Oryzias latipes: one gene and its partners. The protein of the gene in region 1 binds, or shares a complex with, the protein of each later gene. Links are inferred from orthologs where the notes say so. Each region holds a gene or a part of one and is shown on either strand. Other genes may lie near its edges.

What was found.
Region 2: ppp4r1 (region 1) and ppp4r3b share a complex: the UniProt entries of both Homo sapiens proteins name them as parts of the PP4 complex. The link is inferred for Oryzias latipes from reciprocal best matches to the Homo sapiens genes PPP4R1 and PPP4R3B.
Region 3: ppp4r1 (region 1) and ppp4c share a complex: the UniProt entries of both Homo sapiens proteins name them as parts of the PP4 complex. The link is inferred for Oryzias latipes from reciprocal best matches to the Homo sapiens genes PPP4R1 and PPP4C.
Region 4: ppp4r1 (region 1) and ppp4r4 share a complex: the UniProt entries of both Homo sapiens proteins name them as parts of the PP4 complex. The link is inferred for Oryzias latipes from reciprocal best matches to the Homo sapiens genes PPP4R1 and PPP4R4.

The regions. Positions count from the first base shown.
Region 1 is NC_019863.2:13,840,932-13,846,065, forward strand, and holds the start of ppp4r1 (serine/threonine-protein phosphatase 4 regulatory subunit 1), read left to right. Parts: upstream 1-1,912; 5' UTR 1,913-2,123; coding exon 2,124-2,130; intron 2,131-4,096; coding exon 4,097-4,141; intron 4,142-4,657; coding exon 4,658-4,787; intron 4,788-5,134. Other genes in the region: rab22a (ras-related protein Rab-22A), read right to left, coding at 1,519-1,554. UniProt on the Homo sapiens protein: Regulatory subunit of serine/threonine-protein phosphatase 4. May play a role in regulation of cell division in renal glomeruli. The PPP4C-PPP4R1 PP4 complex may play a role in dephosphorylation and regulation of HDAC3.
Region 2 is NC_019873.2:15,889,296-15,894,364, reverse strand, and holds the start of ppp4r3b (serine/threonine-protein phosphatase 4 regulatory subunit 3B), read right to left. Parts: upstream 3,441-5,069; 5' UTR 3,141-3,440; coding exon 2,999-3,140; intron 2,479-2,998; coding exon 2,423-2,478; intron 1,809-2,422; coding exon 1,710-1,808; intron 1,316-1,709; coding exon 692-1,315; intron 1-691. Other genes in the region: pnpt1 (polyribonucleotide nucleotidyltransferase 1, mitochondrial), read right to left, coding at 4,113-4,262, 4,343-4,390, 4,594-4,672, 4,747-4,802, 4,933-5,039. UniProt on the Homo sapiens protein: Regulatory subunit of serine/threonine-protein phosphatase 4 (PP4). May regulate the activity of PPP4C at centrosomal microtubule organizing centers.
Region 3 is NC_019866.2:25,212,888-25,217,723, forward strand, and holds the start of ppp4c (serine/threonine-protein phosphatase 4 catalytic subunit), read right to left. Parts: upstream 3,346-4,836; 5' UTR 3,001-3,345; intron 2,555-3,000; 5' UTR 2,398-2,554; coding exon 2,288-2,397; intron 794-2,287; coding exon 742-793; intron 666-741; coding exon 615-665; intron 1-614. Other genes in the region: actin-related protein 2/3 complex subunit 1A, read left to right, coding at 3,385-3,418. UniProt on the Homo sapiens protein: Protein phosphatase that is involved in many processes such as microtubule organization at centrosomes, maturation of spliceosomal snRNPs, apoptosis, DNA repair, tumor necrosis factor (TNF)-alpha signaling, activation of c-Jun N-terminal kinase MAPK8, regulation of histone acetylation, DNA damage checkpoint signaling, NF-kappa-B activation and cell migration.
Region 4 is NC_019882.2:23,175,256-23,179,595, reverse strand, and holds part of ppp4r4 (serine/threonine-protein phosphatase 4 regulatory subunit 4), read left to right. Parts: intron 1-2,072; coding exon 2,073-2,175; intron 2,176-2,250; coding exon 2,251-2,398; intron 2,399-3,387; coding exon 3,388-3,461; intron 3,462-3,604; coding exon 3,605-3,711; intron 3,712-3,803; coding exon 3,804-3,911; intron 3,912-4,005; coding exon 4,006-4,127; intron 4,128-4,202; coding exon 4,203-4,325; intron 4,326-4,340. UniProt on the Homo sapiens protein: Putative regulatory subunit of serine/threonine-protein phosphatase 4.

The DNA of each region.
Region 1 (5,134 bases):
CATGAGTCATATTCCTACAATCCAACCAGATTGATCTCCATGAGGCAAGTTGCTAATTGAATTAAATTGACCTATATACACTCTTGTGGTAGTGTACTCCGTGAACTTGGGTGGGGGGGGTCACTGATGTGGACATGTCTCCAAAATATTGTTTCCCCACTTCAGTACAAAGCCAGGTCTCTACATTCCATCAATTTATCACTCTTTTTATCATGGTGTGTGTATGTATGTGTGTGTGTGTGTGTATGGGGGGGGGGGGGGGGGGGTTGTCGGCATTGTTTGTCGTGTCATTTTGTTTTTCAATTTGATTGTATTTTATGCAAAGCACTGAGTGACATGTGTTGTAAAAGTGCTACATAAATAAAGGTTGATTTGATTATTAAAATAAACGAAATAAATGGATTAAATTGATACTGGAAATGATCATTGGGATTAAGGCACATTAGGTTTATTTTACTATGACCAGGTATCATCACAGCAGACGACACGCATGTGATGGCAGCAAAAAATGATCAAGACATCGATCCAGTCCAATGTGTGGAAATAAATTGGAGTTTTGCAAAGACATGTGACCATAGAGTGTGATAGAATGTTCTAATAATGTTCAGTTTGTATTATTTTAATGTAGAAAAACAATAGTGGGCTGAACTTTATGAAAACTAAATGTGAATGGATTTGCCATTAATTCTTGTTTGGACACATGTTTAATTTATACTTGATTATGTTGCAAGAAACAAGGAATCTGGAAAACTTCACCTGTTCAGTGCCCAGGTATATATCTTATCACTGGTTGAATTTTTGGCTAAATATGTCCTGGATCGATTTTAGGTCAGTAGGGTTGTTCTAAATGAACACATATTAAATATGAATCGTATCGTTGATAAATGAATCTTTACACACTTAATCAAAACATGTCTATGAAGACTCTCATTCATCCATTTGGATAAGAAGTGAAACGTCTTCTAACTTTAAAAACCAAGTCCAGATGACAGCCCCTAAACCGACGACTTTACTTACTGATCAAAGCACAACCTGTTCAGTAAAATTTCAAAATAAGAGAGCAAAAATCCCTGACAACAAAACTGTCTGGGACAGTTGTAGGTCTTTGTACTTTTATTCAACGCGTACAATATGTTGCAATTATTCGATGAAAACCACTGACTCGTGTAAACTTCCAACTTTAGGCAACAAATAAAAACAAAAAAACATATTTAGGTCATGAAAATTCAGAAATCAACGTTAAAATAAAAAACCGGAACTTTGCCGAAGTTTTGAAAATGACATCCTTTAAACAAATTATGAATAACTCCCCATAAGAAGATGATGCTCTAAAAGTGTCGGTTTAAGTTGAGCAAGACAAAGGCCGATAAATCTATACAAACATTACAAGAATTAAGAGGTCGATTTACACAACGAGGAACTTAAGGCGTTCCCCTTTTGATTAACCGAGGCTCGTTTTAACACAATATGCAATAATCATTTTTGTTTATGTTTATCTAAAAATCAATAGCTACTTACCCCTAAGAGACACACTTTTAACTCTCTCAACGCCATATCAGTCTCCTCTTTCAGAGTGACTTTAGATGAAGATCATGGACAGTTTCTCTTCTGCTTGCTTGTTTATATCTTGAATTTTCTTGAGTGGGAATGATTACGAACAGTCTCGTTTCATGGTTGTCAATAGATGGATAATATACATCTCTGGGTTGTTATTAAAAGTATCTCAAAGGTCCTACAGCCCGTCATACAGGCATAATGTCGTTTACTGTAAGCATCCAGCTAGCTAACACAGCGAACCCTCCAAATTGCTCGGTCTCCATCTTGAACCTCGGCGTGTGGTCACGTGATTACATTGGCTCTTCTTTTTGTGTGTTTGTGTGTGTGTGAAGGTACACAAAGAGCCTCACACTCCGTGACGCGTCCACGCTCAGTTATGTCGAGTTTGTGTTTGAACTGCAAAAAGGTTACGTAAGTATTCGCTCCAAAGATATGCAGCCCGTATATACCAGCATATATGCAGTGTCTAGCACCAGGAAATACTTTCAGGAAGTAGTTCGCCGCCGTGTTTGAGTGACAGCTGTGGGGTAGTGACAGCAGCCCGCAGAGCCGAGCCAATACTCAAGATGGCAGGTAATACACTTTTTAAAACCTCCAATTAATATTATTTTTCACTTTCACATTTTTCAAGTTTCAAATCTGTTTCAGGAAAGTGTAGAAATTACATAAAGACGTTCATGTTAGCTGTTTTTGGTACCCGTGTTGCTAAATCGTGCTAAAGCCGCGTTAGCACTATTGGCAACCCTAGCTAACTAGCTAACGACAGCTACTGAGCGGTGTCGAATTAAGTCCCATTCCGGTCGTTTTTTAAACAAATATCGTCACTTTCCGTTTAGTTTGGCTTGTAAAGAACAACTTTCAACTCTTAAAAGCTTGTTGTCCGTCCTTGCTTACGTATTTTCGACCTGTTGACAGAGCAAACGTTAGCTTGATAGCTACATACAGTTAGCCAGTAGCTGACCAAATCCTTCTTTACACTATAACAAAGCGGCTTTGCTGTTCTTCACCCCACTGCTCAAAAGATGCTTTGAAGCCTGTCTCGATGTTTTCTTCAGTCACGAAACACGTTTTTTGGATGTAATTTTGTTAAAAGAAAGTGCTTCAAATTTGTAGCACATTCCTTTGCTTGCAATGTCTAACTGTAAACACATGATCCACTTCCTTCACTTGGTTTGCTTTGCTTTCTCTGTTTTAGCACACGTTTTGTGGTCTTCCTTGACTTAAAAGTTGTTTTTTGATGACGCTTGGGCTTTTTTGTTTTTATTAATTAACTTAATACTATGCTAATAATGATGTTAAGGAATTTTATTAATAAAATAAATCACGAAATATATAAATAGACTTTCTAAAAGGTCTAGATTCATAGATTCTGTCATCACAGATGGGCTATGGGATGAGGATCATAAACCTTGTGTTGTTATATTTGGTTTTTGAATTTAAATTTGATCAGTTTTTGGTCTTCTTTATATACTTTCATTTCCTTTGGTTAGTTATTTCTGTTACTGTTAGAATAATGTAATGCCAAATATGAAAATGTAATTGAATTTGGACCAACTCTGAACATGTTGATTCCTAAATCAAAATGTTTTAACAAAAATAAAAGGATATAGCTGTATAATATTGCACGGTGCTTCTACAGATGAAGTGTTTATTTCCTCTGTTGGACTCAGAAAAGACACATCTGGACTGTATTTGACTGAAAAAGCAAACTATAAAAGACACTGCAATATAGTATCTTATTTTTACCATTAGCACTCTTTATTCTTCAATCAAATGACACATTTTTTTAAATAATCAAAATGTGTCTAATATGACCAAATGTACTAGATCCAAAGCAGAACATCAGGTGTACAGCTAACAATAACAATAAGCATACAAGGCATCTTTCCAATGCCAAATACGTACTTTTTTGTGTTAAACTTTTGTTTTAAAACTAAAATCAAAACTAAAAAGTCATTTCAGATTGTGTTCATTTAGAAAATACTAACACAGCCTCATCCATTTTTATAGCCTCTGTTATTCATTATGGGGGCTGTGATTTAACCTGATCAGCGATTTGTGTACACTAAACTTCATTAAGAGGCTGCAGACTGAAGCATGTTGTGTTTTTATGTGCTGAGTCACATCATGTTTTGTTTAGCATAATAGGGTAGGTGGAAAAATGGCAATACTTCCTAATAAATGTAGAATTTTCTTTGGACCAACAGTGTAAAAAACCAGGTAAAACTAAAAATGTAAAGACATAAAAAAAAAAATTGTGTTTGCTTCTTGTTTTCTACAAAGTCCATCCTCCCTTTAATGTTACATCTTCCTAAATGTGGGGAAATTGTTTATTACAAAAGGTTAGCGTTATGCATTTTCTCTTGGAAAGTTTTTATTCGGCCAAACTTTGTGTTACTGAAATGAAACTTTCTGGTCAGAACCGCAGAAAATCTTCCCCATCATGATTCCTTTACAGTACATGGTGGGAGAAGTGGTGATGGTGTGGTGAGGGTGTTAGTTACTAGAAAAGCCTCTTCTTTTCTGCTTGTCTTTGCAGGTCTATCTTTATACTTTGAAGATAGTCATGATGATATGGATGACTGTAAGTATGCTGGTAAAACTTTACTAAACGTAAAAAAAAATGTTTAAAATATGTTATTTTTGTCATAAATGAATTTGTGATTTATTTATTTATTCCTTCAGGGAGCTTTTCACAAATTATATATATATATATATATATATATATATATATATATATATATATATATATATATATATATATATATATATATATATATATATATATATATATATATACACACACACACACACACTCATCATAATTAGCTTTTTTATTGCTGTTATAAAAGACTAGACAATACTTTTACTTTAACTAGCAACTGCAAATTTAAAAGCTGCGTAATCGTAAAAGGAAACTTACAAATATTATTAAATAGAGCTTTGCGTGTGCACTCATTTTTATTTTTTATAATTCGGTCCTTTGAAAGTACTGATATGTTGGCCAAGTGTTTCTTGACAAAATCCCATTACAAAATACTGGCATGGATTTGTTTACAACGTCCATCCCTGTAAACAACCCTCTGTGTTGTTCCCACAGTTGGATTTGATGACTACGGGTCAGACTGTGACGGCATTCGCATCACGGCTTTTCTTGATGCAGGACAGGACAACCTCACACCTCTTGGGAGGCTAGAGAAATATGCTTTCAGCGAAAATGTCTTCAACAGGTAATTACAGTCCCTGCTTTCAGCCCCTTCAAATCTGCATTCAAAGAGCTCATATTTGGATTTCAGACCCCCGTGACTAGAAGGCTGATTGCTCACATTTGCATTTCTGCTGCTTCTGTAGTCAATGGCTGGTTTGTAATAGAGGAATTGATTGACATCCTCTGAACTGTTGATGATGGATTCCACAGTACCAATGTGTTTTGAGAAAGATAAATGACATAAATGTACATTTGACCAAAGCTAACATTTTTTTCTTCCTTATGTAAATGATAAATGAAACCATAGATAGATAAAAACTTGACATTAATTTTCTACCTGCTGTGTTGCTGACATGTCCTGTTGGTGAT
Region 2 (5,069 bases), on another chromosome or scaffold:
ACCTGGAAGAGATCATGCAAGAGATTGGAAGAAACAGGAAATCAGTTGGAACTGATTACACCATGGAAACAATACAAACAGTGAAGAGTGCCGGAAGTTATTTTTAAAATATATATATAAAAGACAACTAAACTATTACTATCAGGTAACATTAAAAAAAAAGTTAAAAACAGAAGAAATCTGAGATATATGATGAAAATCTCAAATGATCATCTTAAACTTTTATGTGAAAATGTATTAAGACATTATTATGGAAACAATAGAGGGGGACACATTATGACAAAGCAGGTTGAAGCTTTGTAGAACAACTCATTCTCTTGGCACATTCTAAACGCTGTCATTTTTTTAAACAAATATCTTGACTTACAGTGAACTTTTCAAGAAAATAATGCAAAACACACTAGCACAAGTATTATCCTGTTCAGTTTCTCTCAATTATCTCCTATTTATGTAGAGAACACATTTTTAAAATCACAATTTCATTTTTTTGCCATAAATTTTTTTGTATTAGAAACTGGAGAGAGTACATTAACGTAGCGAACAACAGAAGATACAGACTGTCCAACAGTCAATGTGCAGAATGTTGATTACATCTTAAAAGAATCCCTTTTAATAGAAAACATTTTAATTTACATTGTTAAATACATTAAACTGAAACTTACACTCACTTTAGCCTGGTTTAGATCCTTACCTGCAACATACTGACAATCTCCACTTTGTTGAAGAAAATGAAGGACGTGAGGGTGGACAGGAAGTTCTCCTCAAACACTGAGGGTGTAGGCAGTATTATGTCCTGGATGTATTGAACTCTGTAGGTCTGGTGGATTTTCTGCCGCAGCTCAGAGTCCGTAATCGGGATCACTTCCTTAAATTTTGCGGTCTTGGTCAAGAACTCCCGATGTCTTTTAGGCTGAACCAATGCTGGGTCATACTCAAGGCAACCTACCACATCCATGATACAGTCATCCGAGAACATCACCTCAAAAAGGGCAGCTTTGTTGAGGAACAAGACTCCCCGCACAACCTCATAGAGGTGATGCAAGCCTTCTCTGTTGTCCAGGTCCTCGCATACTCTGAAGAGACCCAGCAGTTTCTTTATGTAGCCCTCACTCATTAGAGCCAGTGCAAGTTTTTCGCGCCGAATGGGTGAGGAGAGAACAGAGGTAACCAGGTCAGCGATTTCCTCAAGTCGACCTAGTTCACATGGCGGGAGCTCAACCAAGTGGCTTGTCTCTGGAATTTCCTCAAAGTGGTCCTCCTCTGATTCATCGATGGGATCCTGAGTGATGTCCAGAGCAGGGTCTTTGCCTTGTACCTGAGCAAAAATAATAAAATAAAAATCACATATTTAAAAAAAAAAATTTACAGTAAAGAATCATGAACTCCCTTACTTGGGATACTGGTAGTAAAAACTGCAAAACTCGCAGCATTCTTATACATTCTAAACGTATGTGATACTTGCAGGTATGAGCCACAGCTAAAAATAAACTTATTTTTTTTGCTAAAATACAATGTCAAACTTTAACGAGTTAAAAGACCAAAACCCTCAATCCCTTTATTTATAAAAAAATATATATGTTATTTAACATGTTTCAATCGTTATACAGTAACAGTTACAAAGTCCCACCTGACAGGAACGTTTTTCAAACATCAAAGAGAAGGGACACCAAGAAGGAGGGACATGCTGAACTGTCTTTATTTGTAATTACCTGACAGATCCTTTCCCAAATCTCATCACAGCCAGCCTTTTCCTGGAAGCTTAGAGCAAGATCGTAATTATCCGCTTCTGACCAAACAATCAGTGTGTCCTGAAAGAAAAGAATGAAACTTTTTCCTATTACCAAAAATACAAAAATAGCAACAACAACAATTGTCTTCAAACATATTTTACATTAAAACTTTAAATAAAGCTTAATTTAAACCCAGAATGTGTGCCTTAATCATTGTACTCATACAAAAATACAACCAACGACTTTGTTTTTAAATGACTGAACAGGTGTAGAAAAGTAAAAAAAGAAGATACTTCTGTGTACATAGTTGTAGATGTACCTCTTCTAAATGTTTTTAGGGGTAGAAAGATATATTTTTCTTATTGCTGCTCCCTTTCATTTCCCCTGCATAAGATGTCTAGTATTGTTTTAATGTATATGTTTTCTTGTGGTAATGAAATACCACAATTGTGTTATTCCTAAGGTTGAACAATTGTACTGATGATAAATATAACAGTATTTCACATTACAAAGTCTTCAAGTAAAAAAAGCTTAGTATACTAGCATAATTACACATCATCTATTCCCAACTTTCTTACAACAGAATAACCACAGAGGAGGAAAACTTTACTATTATGCAATAGCTTTTCAATTGTAAGACTCAATTAAACCAAGTATAAAACTCCTTAATTGTTGAAATATTAAATACTTACCTGTTGTTTCTGATATGCAGTATTCGGACTTATCTTTGATTCCAACAACAAAGATCCTAATAAAAAACAGAATTGCTTAATTTTCAGAGTGGTATGAAACTATTTACAAACCAATTAACTATTTGCCAACAATAGACGTATGAACCACAATGATGATTAGTTCAAAATAAGATCAGAATAACAGCTAAAATAAATACAGTAGTTTATGAACCAAATTAATACAGCCTGACGTAATAGTAGCAGAAATAGAGCAATATCCATGAATAGATTAAGTTTATTACAACGAGCAAGTGTAAACGTGTGCGCCGCGACTTTGAGGGGGGGCCCATGCTACTACGACCAACCAAACCAACTAGTCGTTGGAAATGAGGACTCTCCGGAAAAAGAAAAACAAACATTTGACTTCATGTTTTCAAAGTAAATATATACCAATTGGTCTAAAACAATTAATTTAGTGACACACAACGCTACACCAACTGCATAAATACATCCACCAAGTCAGAAATGCTATCAAACTAAGAGCTTTGCTATTTAAAATATAGCATGCTAGTTAGCTAATGCTAACAGAGAACTTACCGTCCGATTCGGCTCGAACTAGCAGTGATATTCCCCTCAGTCGTTCCACAAACGTAGATGAAACATGACCTGTACCCCGATCGTCCCACTGCCTGTCTTCATTTAGCGTGTATACCTTTACTCGCCGCCGAGTGTCCGACATGGCTAATCGAATCGGAGCTAGCAGGCTGCTAAGCTATCACCTCACCCCGTTTACTGCTTTCCTCGACCTGTTAACTTTGTTCCCACCTGCATGTTACAAAACATGCCAGTCTAGGTTGACGTTTACAGTAGTAGTCGAATATATCTCGCAAACATATCACGTTTGCGGTTATAAATCCAAATAGACAGTCTGATTTCAAACTGAGAAATTTAAAGAAACAACTCTGATGGCCTTCTTGCTAACGTCCACGGACCGCCATCTTGTAATCCGATCTTGTGCTCTTTTTCATCGCGGATGTCAATCATGCGCTAACTGCCGTGCGTGGGGCGGGGCTTATTCCTTCAGGCAACTGGGAATTCCGCAACTTAATGGCTGGGAAAGGAACTGCAGTACCTCATGCATTTTAAGTAAAAAAAATAATTTAGTTTTCGTCACATAAATATTTGAAACAATTACCAAATAATGCATAAAACAATACATTTCAATATTAGATTATAGAAAAAAAACGTTTTATTTATTTCCAAAATGATTAAGAAATGCCATGTATTTGTGTATTTACATAGACTATAAATAAAAAAAAACAAGTACATATGCTGTGAAGTTCTCCCACTTTGTTTTTGTTTCTATACCAGTATATTAGAGGACAATAGATATGAAATGTAAAAATCCTAAACAATAGCAAGTACTAGACTTTTGCAAACTTGTAATCATACCACCACATAAGGCACAAATATTTGTGGAAGTACAAGAAGCATTGTTGCTGATACATGACATAACAAGGACAAACCTAAAAAAAAACACAAAAAAAACAAAACACAATTCTGTTCTTGTCAGCCAGATGCCTCATTTGTCCAATAGTGCCATGTTTACGACATCTGTTGCATCTTTCTTGGGATTACTACTTCAAAAGTAATATTCCTTTCGAATTGTAGTTGGTGGATTAGTCAGGAAACTCTGCGCTGTGCCATTCTGTCACAAGTCGGATCTTTCGCTGATGTTTGAACCCATGGAAATGCTCTGTTTCTCACTTAGCGTCTTGACGACAGTGGCGGCAGGAGACTGCAACACCTTTCGTGAAAGCCTCATTCTGCCGTCTGTTGGATCTCGTCCAAAATACTTCACCTGTCAGGAGAACACTTGTTAGAAAAAAAGAAACCCCACAGTGGCAATAAAACAGGTCACTTTGAACAGCTGACACAAACCTGTATCTCCTGTCCTACATCCAAACCCAAAGCACTTGGATGCTTGATCTACAAGAGATACATTTTCGTCATTTTATTTGATTGATTATTTTCAATTTACTTGTGCATTGTTTTTATCTTCTTTTTTGTTTACATGATTGTACACCACTTCAGATCAGAACAGATCATTTAAGTGCTCTATAAAAGAAAATTGGATGGTGTGGTTTAACAAAAACAGATTAAAAAAGTCCACCAAAGTGCGTTTTACAAACCCGTTTGTGGTCCAGCTGGGAGTTGTGCAGCAAGACAGGCGTCATGTTTGGATATAGTTTAACCATCACACCAATGTCCCTAAAACAGAGAGGTATGTCCATCAGTGGCTGGATCAGGGCTCGCTTTCAGCCCTCAAAAGTAAATAAGGTTACCTTATTTCTGTGATGGTGGCAGTGTAGACGGCACCAAACTCCAACTGCTGCTCCTGCTGCAAATGGGAAGCAACATTAATGCTCGAGCTTTAGGTACATATAGGCAAGGTTCAGTGATAGTCTGGAATATCAAACTGATAATTAATGAATAAACCAGATGCATTCTGGATTTTGTTGTTGGCTCACATCGTCTTTGCAGATATCGCTAATGAACTCCTGGGCTTCATTCATAGCTCCAGGAGTTGGAGCAAACACAGAGAACGTTTCTTCATCCACCTGACTTATAGTGACACCTTTAGAGGAAACAAAAAGACTAAATTAAA
Region 3 (4,836 bases), on another chromosome or scaffold:
GCCTCAGGCTAAAACACACAGTACAGCCTGAGGAGAACCGGTCGGACCATCGGACACCAGAGGAGCGCGGCTGTGCTGTAAACCCACACGTGTACAGACAGAATGAAGGGCAGTTTAAAGCAAACAGCCCAACTTTTGTTTTAATAACACCGTTTGCTTTAAAGTTGACCTGGATCTGGCATCAGCAAACACATTTCAAGGCCTCTGTACAGACATTCTGTTAAAACTACTGAGTACAGAGTACTGCTATTTCTACACAGAGGTCACTAGCAGAAGTTACGGGGCACTTCTCGTGGCGCTCGTGTTTTCATTGCTCCGCCTCGCTGAAGTAGCTCCTCTTTGCTCGCTGCTGTTCTCACATCCGTGCTTTGGACGGACCGGCGGGCGGCTTTTACTCCCAACACGGAAGAGAGCAGAGAGCTGGGGGGAAACGTCTCCATTTTCTCAAAAATAAACAGTCTAAAACATCAAATTGGACATAACTGATTAATGGTCCAGCCCTACGTCACAGCCCATAAAGAAGAAGTGTCCAACCATCAAAACCAAACAGCAGTGCAGGAAAATAAACCACGATTTTGTCTGGAGCTTGGATTAAAACAAACATAAAAGCTTACTCTGAAGAGTTCTTTCAGGTCATAGAACTGACCGTGTATATCACCACAAACCTACAAAAAATAAGAGAACAGAAGGTCAAACGAACAATCAACGACTTTGGATTTAAAAGCAGCAAATGGAACTTACAGTGACTGGAGAGTCTACTCTCTGAACGTTACTCTCTTCAACCAGGATTTCTCTGAAAGAAAGTCATGAACACGTATGACAATGAGGTTCTAAACATGTTCTGTTTAAAAAAAGTGACAGTGTTCTGAAATCTGTCAATTACAAAAGAAGTTTTTTTCATCATTTCAAGAAATAACTCTGGGAATATTGAAAAATACAGTATTGAACAATCCTTCATTCTCTAGTTTCCAGTAACTCTTCACCTTCTACAGGAAAAGCACTTTTCAGGTGACAATAGCACCGATATAGCACTGCCTAGTGCGTCCATCACGATCGACTAGTCAACCCTGATCAATGCGAATTGATCATGGGCCATCAAAAAGAAACTTTGATTGTTTTTATTGCCGTCTGCCAATCATCATCCTTGTCATGAAGTAAATCACTTGATAAGAATGCAGAACAGCCAAACAAACATCCTGTGATGAAAAGGTCATTGCACATCCGTGTTCAACTATACGAGCAGCAGGTCGACCGGCACACTGTCCGCCGGGTCCCCGGGACAGCGTCTCTCCAGCCTGCAGAACCGTGTATGGAAGCACAAGTCGGCCAGCGCCTCCCTGATCGGAAACGAGACCGTGAAGCCCCGTCTGACCCAGCCGTCCTGCCACGGCACCGGCTGCCGGGTCTGCGGTTTCTGCCTGAATGATTGAGGCCCGCTCGGGCAGAAGCCTGTGCCTCTCGAGCTCTGTCCATGAATCAGGGGCCCGGCCCGGTGTGCGCCCTGTCCCCGCCGCTGCTCCACCGCCAGGCTTGTCACCTGGTATAAAACCTGAGTGGGCCAAGGGGGGGCGGACCTACTGTAGCCGGGCATGCTCTCACTTCAACGACAACCAAGTAGATCCTGGAAGAAGTATTAGCTTATCCCAAGAATGAAGCCCAAAACAGAACAAAAAAAAAAAAGGGGGGGGGGGGGGCTGATCTGGAGTTTTTCTTCCTCCTAAACTTGAGAAAGAGGAGCATTCAGCGTCAGACTCCTAGCAATAGAAATGTTTCTGCTGTGCGATGCTCTGCTGTTAACATAACAACAAAACACACACAGGTCCAAATCAACAAGCTGCTGAAGGAACTTTTTATCATATCTTATATGTGAATCTAAATGTATCAACTGAATTCTAAATAATTTTCTGAGTCACTTTAAAGTCTTTTCATATTAAGTCTGTGTATGTAAGGATATATTTAAAAAGACACGTGTTGCGGTGCATTCTGGGAGCTTATACTTTGATTACGATTTGGAACAACTTACAGTAAACTTATGCAGACATCTGTGAACCAGCGAATCATGGTAATGAGCGGCCACTGGCTACAGCCTTTGGTACAGAATTTAACAGTACTTGGAAGAAATATTATTATTTGCTTAATAGGCCTATAGAGACATTTCAGTTATGTTGTGTTCAGAATGGAAAGCTCCATCATGGGCCTAAGGAAACTGCGGCTTGTGGTTTTTAGTGGCTGGCGTGATGCAGAAAAAGTGTGGCCCCCCAGCAGTGGAGGGGAACACAGCTCCCACCTGGCTTTGGCGCACAGCGCTTTGACTTCGTTCTCCTTGATCAGCTCACATCTTCGCAGCTGCTCTATCTGCCGGTCCAGGTCACTGATGTCTCCCATTGTCACGCACATAGAGACCTCCTCGCGCTGGTTCTCACGCGCTTCTTCCAGCTGAAATTCCCTGCAGGTCACGTTCCTGTCTCGGCTGTTGCCACAGTGACGTCTCTCTGTCTGTCCGGGCGGAAGGGCTCTAGTCTCGGAAAGACCGATCTCCGTGGTGGCGTTGAGTCTGAGAAGAGACCCGGTTCCAGTTTACGTACAGACATAAAAACAGAGAAAGGCAGAAAATGTCACCGTGAAGTTAGGCAGAGGTTCGGGCTTAGCGGCGCCGAACATACGTAATGCAGCAGAATGCGAGGCCTTGGGGCGTAGCTTGAGCTAAGCCTTAGCATGCTAGCTTACATCACTGATCGACGATCACGTAGATAACAAACCAACAACTTTATTGTTTTTTCTCCCACACTCAACGACAGCGGCATCGATTCAGACCAGGGACTGAACGTATATAGTAACGGGTTACAACAGACAACCTTAAAGTGGACAAAACGGGACCTGAGCGGCTTTACCCAGAGAATGGTTAGCATACAGCCAGTAAGCTAGCACAGTTAGCACAAATGTCCGCCAAACGACGACACGGAGCCAAACCGAACGACAAAACCGCCTCCGCGCGATTACCTTATTGACCGGTGTGTTGGGACGAACGCCGATGCGTCATTGGATGGCTCTGCGGGTGTGAGGCCGCTGCTTCACCGGCTCTTTCCCCGGTATCGTCCGTGCCGGTCGGCTTCTGCTGCTCTCATCAACAACGACGACGGGAAGTTCCGGTGAAGGGCGCGCGCGCCGCGCACGGACCAGACGGAGCGTTACAGAACAACCACCTGCTGATCCGGTCTGGCTGTTCAAACCCCCCCGAAGTGTCCGTTAAAAATAAATAAATAAATAATAATAATAATAATAATCATTGATTAGATCTAGAGGCTGCGTCACACACGGGCACGGAAACGGCATTTTCCCCAAACGGCTTCATGTTCGAGCGCCGGCGGCCTCACGTTAAGGCCTATGGGACACGGAAGGTTTTTATTCATTCATCCAGGTTTCAGTCATAAGTGCATTTAACACAAGTAACACTTTTATTTACTGTTTATTTGAAAAGGCATTTTGTAATCTAGAATTCCGTGTGAAAAATTGAAATTTAAAATCATAGTTTTAGAACAAAATGTTAAATAAAAATAAAAACAATCCCATAAATCAAAGGACAAATTAGAATTAGATATGCAAAATGAATTTTCAATTTACAACATTAAAAGTGACATTTGAACTCATTGTTTGCTTTGAACTTATTTCTCTCTTAACCTGACAACACCAGAAGTTTTAACCTTTTCATTGTTATATTGTTCACGTTGACTGTATTTTATTTCTACTTTATTGTTTTAACTTAATGTTAAAACATTGTCATTGCATCATTTTTCATGGTGTTTTTTCAAAGTGAAAAAAAGCAACCCCCCCCCCCCCAACCAGTGTCAACCATTTGCATTTATGGGGTGTTGCTTCAATATGCTAAGTTCCACCTCCACCATTGACCGTATGAAAGAACTGGACTGAGTGGCCCCTCCCCCTGGCGTTCCAAACAGGAAGTTGATCCAAGAAGCCAGAGTCCCATAGGCATAGTTTCTAAAATGTAAAGCTGTTTTTCAAATATATTTGTTGTGCTTTCTTAATTGTGCTGATGGTTAAAATCATTCAGTGTTTGTCACGGAGGGGGCTGAGGGAGAACCCAGACGCAGAGAGGAGAAGGCAGGAGGTTCCGGGTGAAAAGGAGCTTTAATAAACCAAAGACCACTGCTGAGCAGGCAAGACAAACCAAAAACTAGAAAAACAGCAAAACTATGGAGCAACACAGGAGGAGGAGAAAGACAGGACTTAAATAGACACAAACAAGACACAGGTGGAAACAATCAGGACAGATGGGGACCAAAGGTAAAACCCGAAAAACACGATACAAAACAGGAAACCTATCAAAATAAAACAGGAATCAGAACTAAAATAGAACCAAATACAAAAGCCAGGAAACTCAAACAAACCATGACAGAGTCGGGTACTTTGTAGATGTGACAGAAAAGAAAACCTGAGACTCAAAAAAGAATTCTACCTGAAGTCAAGGCAAAGTCAATGCAGGACTAAACCGTCTTACATTGAAAACAAAAACAGAAATGCAATTGTTTGGGTCTACGAATGCTAACAGGAAACCTGGAGCAGACATTTAAGGTGGAATTATTTTAACGGCACAACTGAACACCAGCAGAACCTTTGAGTGGTATTTATTACCTGTCATTACTGCATATTTTGGTACATCTTCCACTGAATTACAGCAGTTTCTAAACATATCAGAGTAAAATACTAAAAACGAATCCTTAGTGATGACGACACTGTCTGGTTAAAGGTAAGGAAGGCATCACTTATGGTTTGTTTAGACCTGGTCACTGTTAATAAAAGGCGGGCGGGCAGGTCTGT
Region 4 (4,340 bases), on another chromosome or scaffold:
CTTAACCTTGCTTGTGCTGCGTTATGCTTTTGCATCTCTTTTAATAGTTCCACTTCTTTTCTTTTCTCCTCCAACCTGTTTTTTATTGTTGCACTTTCTGTTAGAAACTGTGCTCGTTTTTTTGCATCTTCAACTTCTAGTTCTCTGATTTCTTCTTCACGTTGATGTTGGGTTTTCATTATTTTGATGACTTCTTCTGAGGCGGCTACTTCAGCTGCTGCTAGTTGTCTTTGTACTGTGTCAGAAGATGACCGCTTGGACATATCAGACATGACCTTTGATTTGTAAGACATGCTTGAAGAAGTACTACTTGAACTACTGTGAAACACTGATTCAGAATCTGGCCAAGGAATATCTTCTGGATTGCCATCTTGTTCGAGTAAACACTGTGCTTTAGCTTTGGCTGTGTGACTGATCGTATGGCACATGTCACATTTTCTTCTTATTTCAATGTCTGGACTTCTAATTTGTCTTATTGAATCATAGATATTGCAGATTTCTTTCTGAAACGTGTCTATTGTGTCCACAGCTTCAGCGATTATTTCTATGTCTTTACCTCTCATAAATCTCCTGAAACAGTTTATGTGATACTTCCACTTTTTGTATAGACACTCAAATTCTTTTGTTAAATCAGTCAGGTGAGCTTCTTGCAGAGATTTTCCCTTTTCAGTTAGTGTGCGTTTGCGCTGACTTTTGCGAACTGCTGTTTGTTTACTTTCAGCTGATACTGATGTTTGCAGAGTTTCTTCTCCATCTGACTGCTCATTATCATCATCTTGTGTTTTACATTCTGCACCGTCTTCCTTAGTGCGCCCTTCTGTATCCTTCTCCTCATCTGCCATTTTGAGTGTAAATTGTAGCTTGTAGTTGTCTTAAGCTTGATATGCATTCACTTTTTGATGCCTCAGCTCTCTATCTTTAGCTTTCACATGCAGCTGTCTAGTTTTGTGCTGCTCCAAAAAATGCACTTTGGTTCTTGTTTGTCTAACTCTCACTTGATCACTTTACCTTAGATTTTGCAGTGCTTCGTTTAAGCATGTGATCCTTCCCTTGTATTTGCAGCTTCTTGCTTGCAGCTTGCTTCAGTCCCGACAGTGCTTTGCCTTCTCCGGGGCAGTAAAGTGTTCTACTGTGCCGGCTTGGTCATTTTTTCACACAGACGAGAGGCGTTCGAGTTCCTTGTACTGCTGTTTAATGTGGTGTTCCTTTCTTTAAACTTTACACCGCATCAACATCCGTAGAACACTTTGGCCTGCTAATGAACCAACCGGTGAACTAAAACACAAAAATTCTTCTTAATTGTTCTCTTATTGCCGTCTGTCGTGCTGACTTTGCATGTGCTGCTCTTATAGGAAACAGGAAGTGCCTATTACAACCTGTAACTGAACTCAGGTAAACTAAACATTAAAAACTCTTCAAAATTAAATCTTACTGCTCCTAAAGCTTCATAGGTGTGATATAAAATGTAGAAAATACAAATATTTAAATCTACAAATTAAAGAAAAATAATTAAAAACGTTTTAGGTAGCACTGCGGCAGAGCGCCCTCTGCTGTCAAAATAAATAACTACTAAGACATCAACTGCTATAGTATTTAATTAAGTCTATCTAATTGCATTGTAATGGTTGGACTAAACTGGATTGTAACATCTGTAATGAATCTGGACATGTTTATATTGATTTCTCATGGCTTATGTGCAGCTCTTTGAGACACCCTTGGTTGTGAATCGGTTCTCTGTAAATAAACAGAATTGACCTGAAAAACGAGAAATAATGACTGTTCATGCTTTACTGCACATAAGCAAAACTGTGATATAGCATGATATTTAGGTCTGGGGTCTTTTCTATTCTCTTGTGTCAGGGCTCAGTAAGTTCTGCAGCCAATTTATCAGTTGTGCTAATCCTCAGTCTGGTCCTGGAAGATCCAAACTAGTTCACTGAAATGATTCTTCAACAGACCTGAGGCCTGCAGCTAAAAAGGGAACCAGAAGAACATAGATTGGTTAAAGTTTTTAGAGTCTGAACTGGTTTTAGTTCAGATATTCTAGCTCTAATTAACTCTCATGTCTTTAGCCAGGGTCAGGAGATGCAGAGGGCCTGCGTCATCAGTAACTTACCCAGTCTAGTTCGCCAGAACCCTGCTGAGACATTCCGCCGGGTTGTACCAAAGGTTCGGGTATGTAAACACCATAAAGCTGCTTCAGATTTCAAGAGGTGACGGGGTTTCACCTGATATGCTTCTGTTCTCCAGGAGGTCCTAAATGGTGCAGGTGTTGAGATCCAGCTGGCAGCAGCAGCTTCGTTTTTAACCATCTTGCAGGATGACATAATTCTGATCCACACTCACACCTATTCCATTCTAAAGACTGTCCTGCAGCAACTGAACCACAGAGACACAGGTAAACTCACCTGAACCACAGAGACACAGCTTGGATTTGATTTGGATTTGAATGATTTATACAAGTATTTAAATAATACAATTTTAAAAAGTATAAAATTCAGAGTTATCAAAGCTATTTTACATATTAGGTAATACATTAATTAAAAAGCAAATATAATAAAAAAAAAAGGGCTGCACGGTGACGCAGTGGTTAGCGCTCTTGCCTCACAGCCCCTGGTTCAAGTCCCAGCTGGGGGACCTGAACCAGAACATCAATGGGGGGCCCTTTCTGTGTGGAGTTTGCATGTTCTCTCTGCGTGGGTTCTCTCTGGGATCTCCGTCTTCCTCCCACTGTCCAAAAACATGCTTCATAGGTTAATTGGTCACTCTAAATTGTCCATAGGTGTGAGTGTGAGAGTGATTGTGATTGAGGCCCTGCAACAGACTGGGGACCTGTCCAGGATGTACCCTGCCTTCGCCCACAGGTAGCCGTAATTAACCAATCAGGACAGGTAATTAATAGGCTCCGGCAGCCCCGTGACCCCGAAAGGGATAAAACGGGAGAAAATGAATGAATGAATGAATATAACAAACAAAGGAGAAAGAAGATGCCATCTTTTGACAGAGTAATTACTCATAACTAAAAATAAAGGTATTTTCCCCATACATAGAGTACAGACACAACACACATTAGATTCCTTAACCCTTGTGCTTTCTTAGATGACCCCCCCCTTGCATTGACGTGTTCTCCCTAACATGACAAAGGTGGATAAAGGTGGAAAGATTTCATGTAATCCATGGACACCAGTGAAGATCACAAATCATTGAAGAAAAAAGGTTCAGAGCACTGTCTAGTGGGTCTAGATGAGTTGCAGAAACTCAGATTGTCTTTGTAATGTTTACGTTTTATTACAACCACTGAATTAGGATGCTCAGAGCTGAGATGTTGAAATGAGGCCAATGCTGATTTTGCCTTGTGTTTGGCTGACATTGTTGTTTCTGTCACAGTGGTGAGCAGCGCCTGGTTGGAGACTCTGCTGTCAGCCATAAATGTTCTTCCCAAGGAAACCATCAAACAGGAGGTTAGCTCCAACTCAAACTTCCTGTTGTATTTGTGATTGTGTTCACCTGCTCTTTGCTAACTGATGAAAAGAACTCAGTGGATGTTCAACATTATAAATCTGTAAAATATCTTTGATAGCTGTGCCTGTCTCTGTCCTTCCAGGTGTTGAACTCTCTCATGTATCAGACGCAGATGTCTCATTTCCTTCAGGGTCGTTTGGCTGCTTGCCGTATTTTAGGAAAAGTTGCCTCTAGGTTTAATTGTCACATGTGAGTTCCACAAACTGAAACACAATGCTCCTTGTTTATCACACCTTCCTGGTACTGTGAAGACCTGAACAGGTACATCGTCTGCTTGTCAGGGTGATGAAGGAGTTGTTGCCACTGGCTCGTTCTTTGCTTCAGGATGTGGAACCTGAAGTCCGTGCCTGCATGTGCAATCACTTGGAGAGCATTGCCAGAGCCATTGGGTAACTGCTCCCAAACAAAAGAGAAACTGAACAACAGGTGACCAATGCACACCACATGTCTCTAATAAAAGCTTTCCTTGGGTTTATGCTTCAGTGAAGACAATTACAGGACAGAACTTTGGCCAGAGCTTGTTGAGCTTGCTGGAGATGAGGAGAACAGTGTCCAACTGGCAAGCTTTGACACAATCATCAACCTGATGGAGATGATAGATGGCAGTGAGTGCAGAATGAAAGCCCTCCTTGCTGAGCAAATCCCTGTACAACATATTTAAATTCCTAATTTCTTTTCAGAGGACCTACTTCCTGTCATGGTTCCCATGGTGATGATGGTTTGTGAGGCTGCAGCACAGGCGGATGAAGCAGTTATGGTGTCCCTGTCCTTCCAGTTTGGGAAGCTTTGCAATGGATTGGCTGGTGAGACCAGCACTG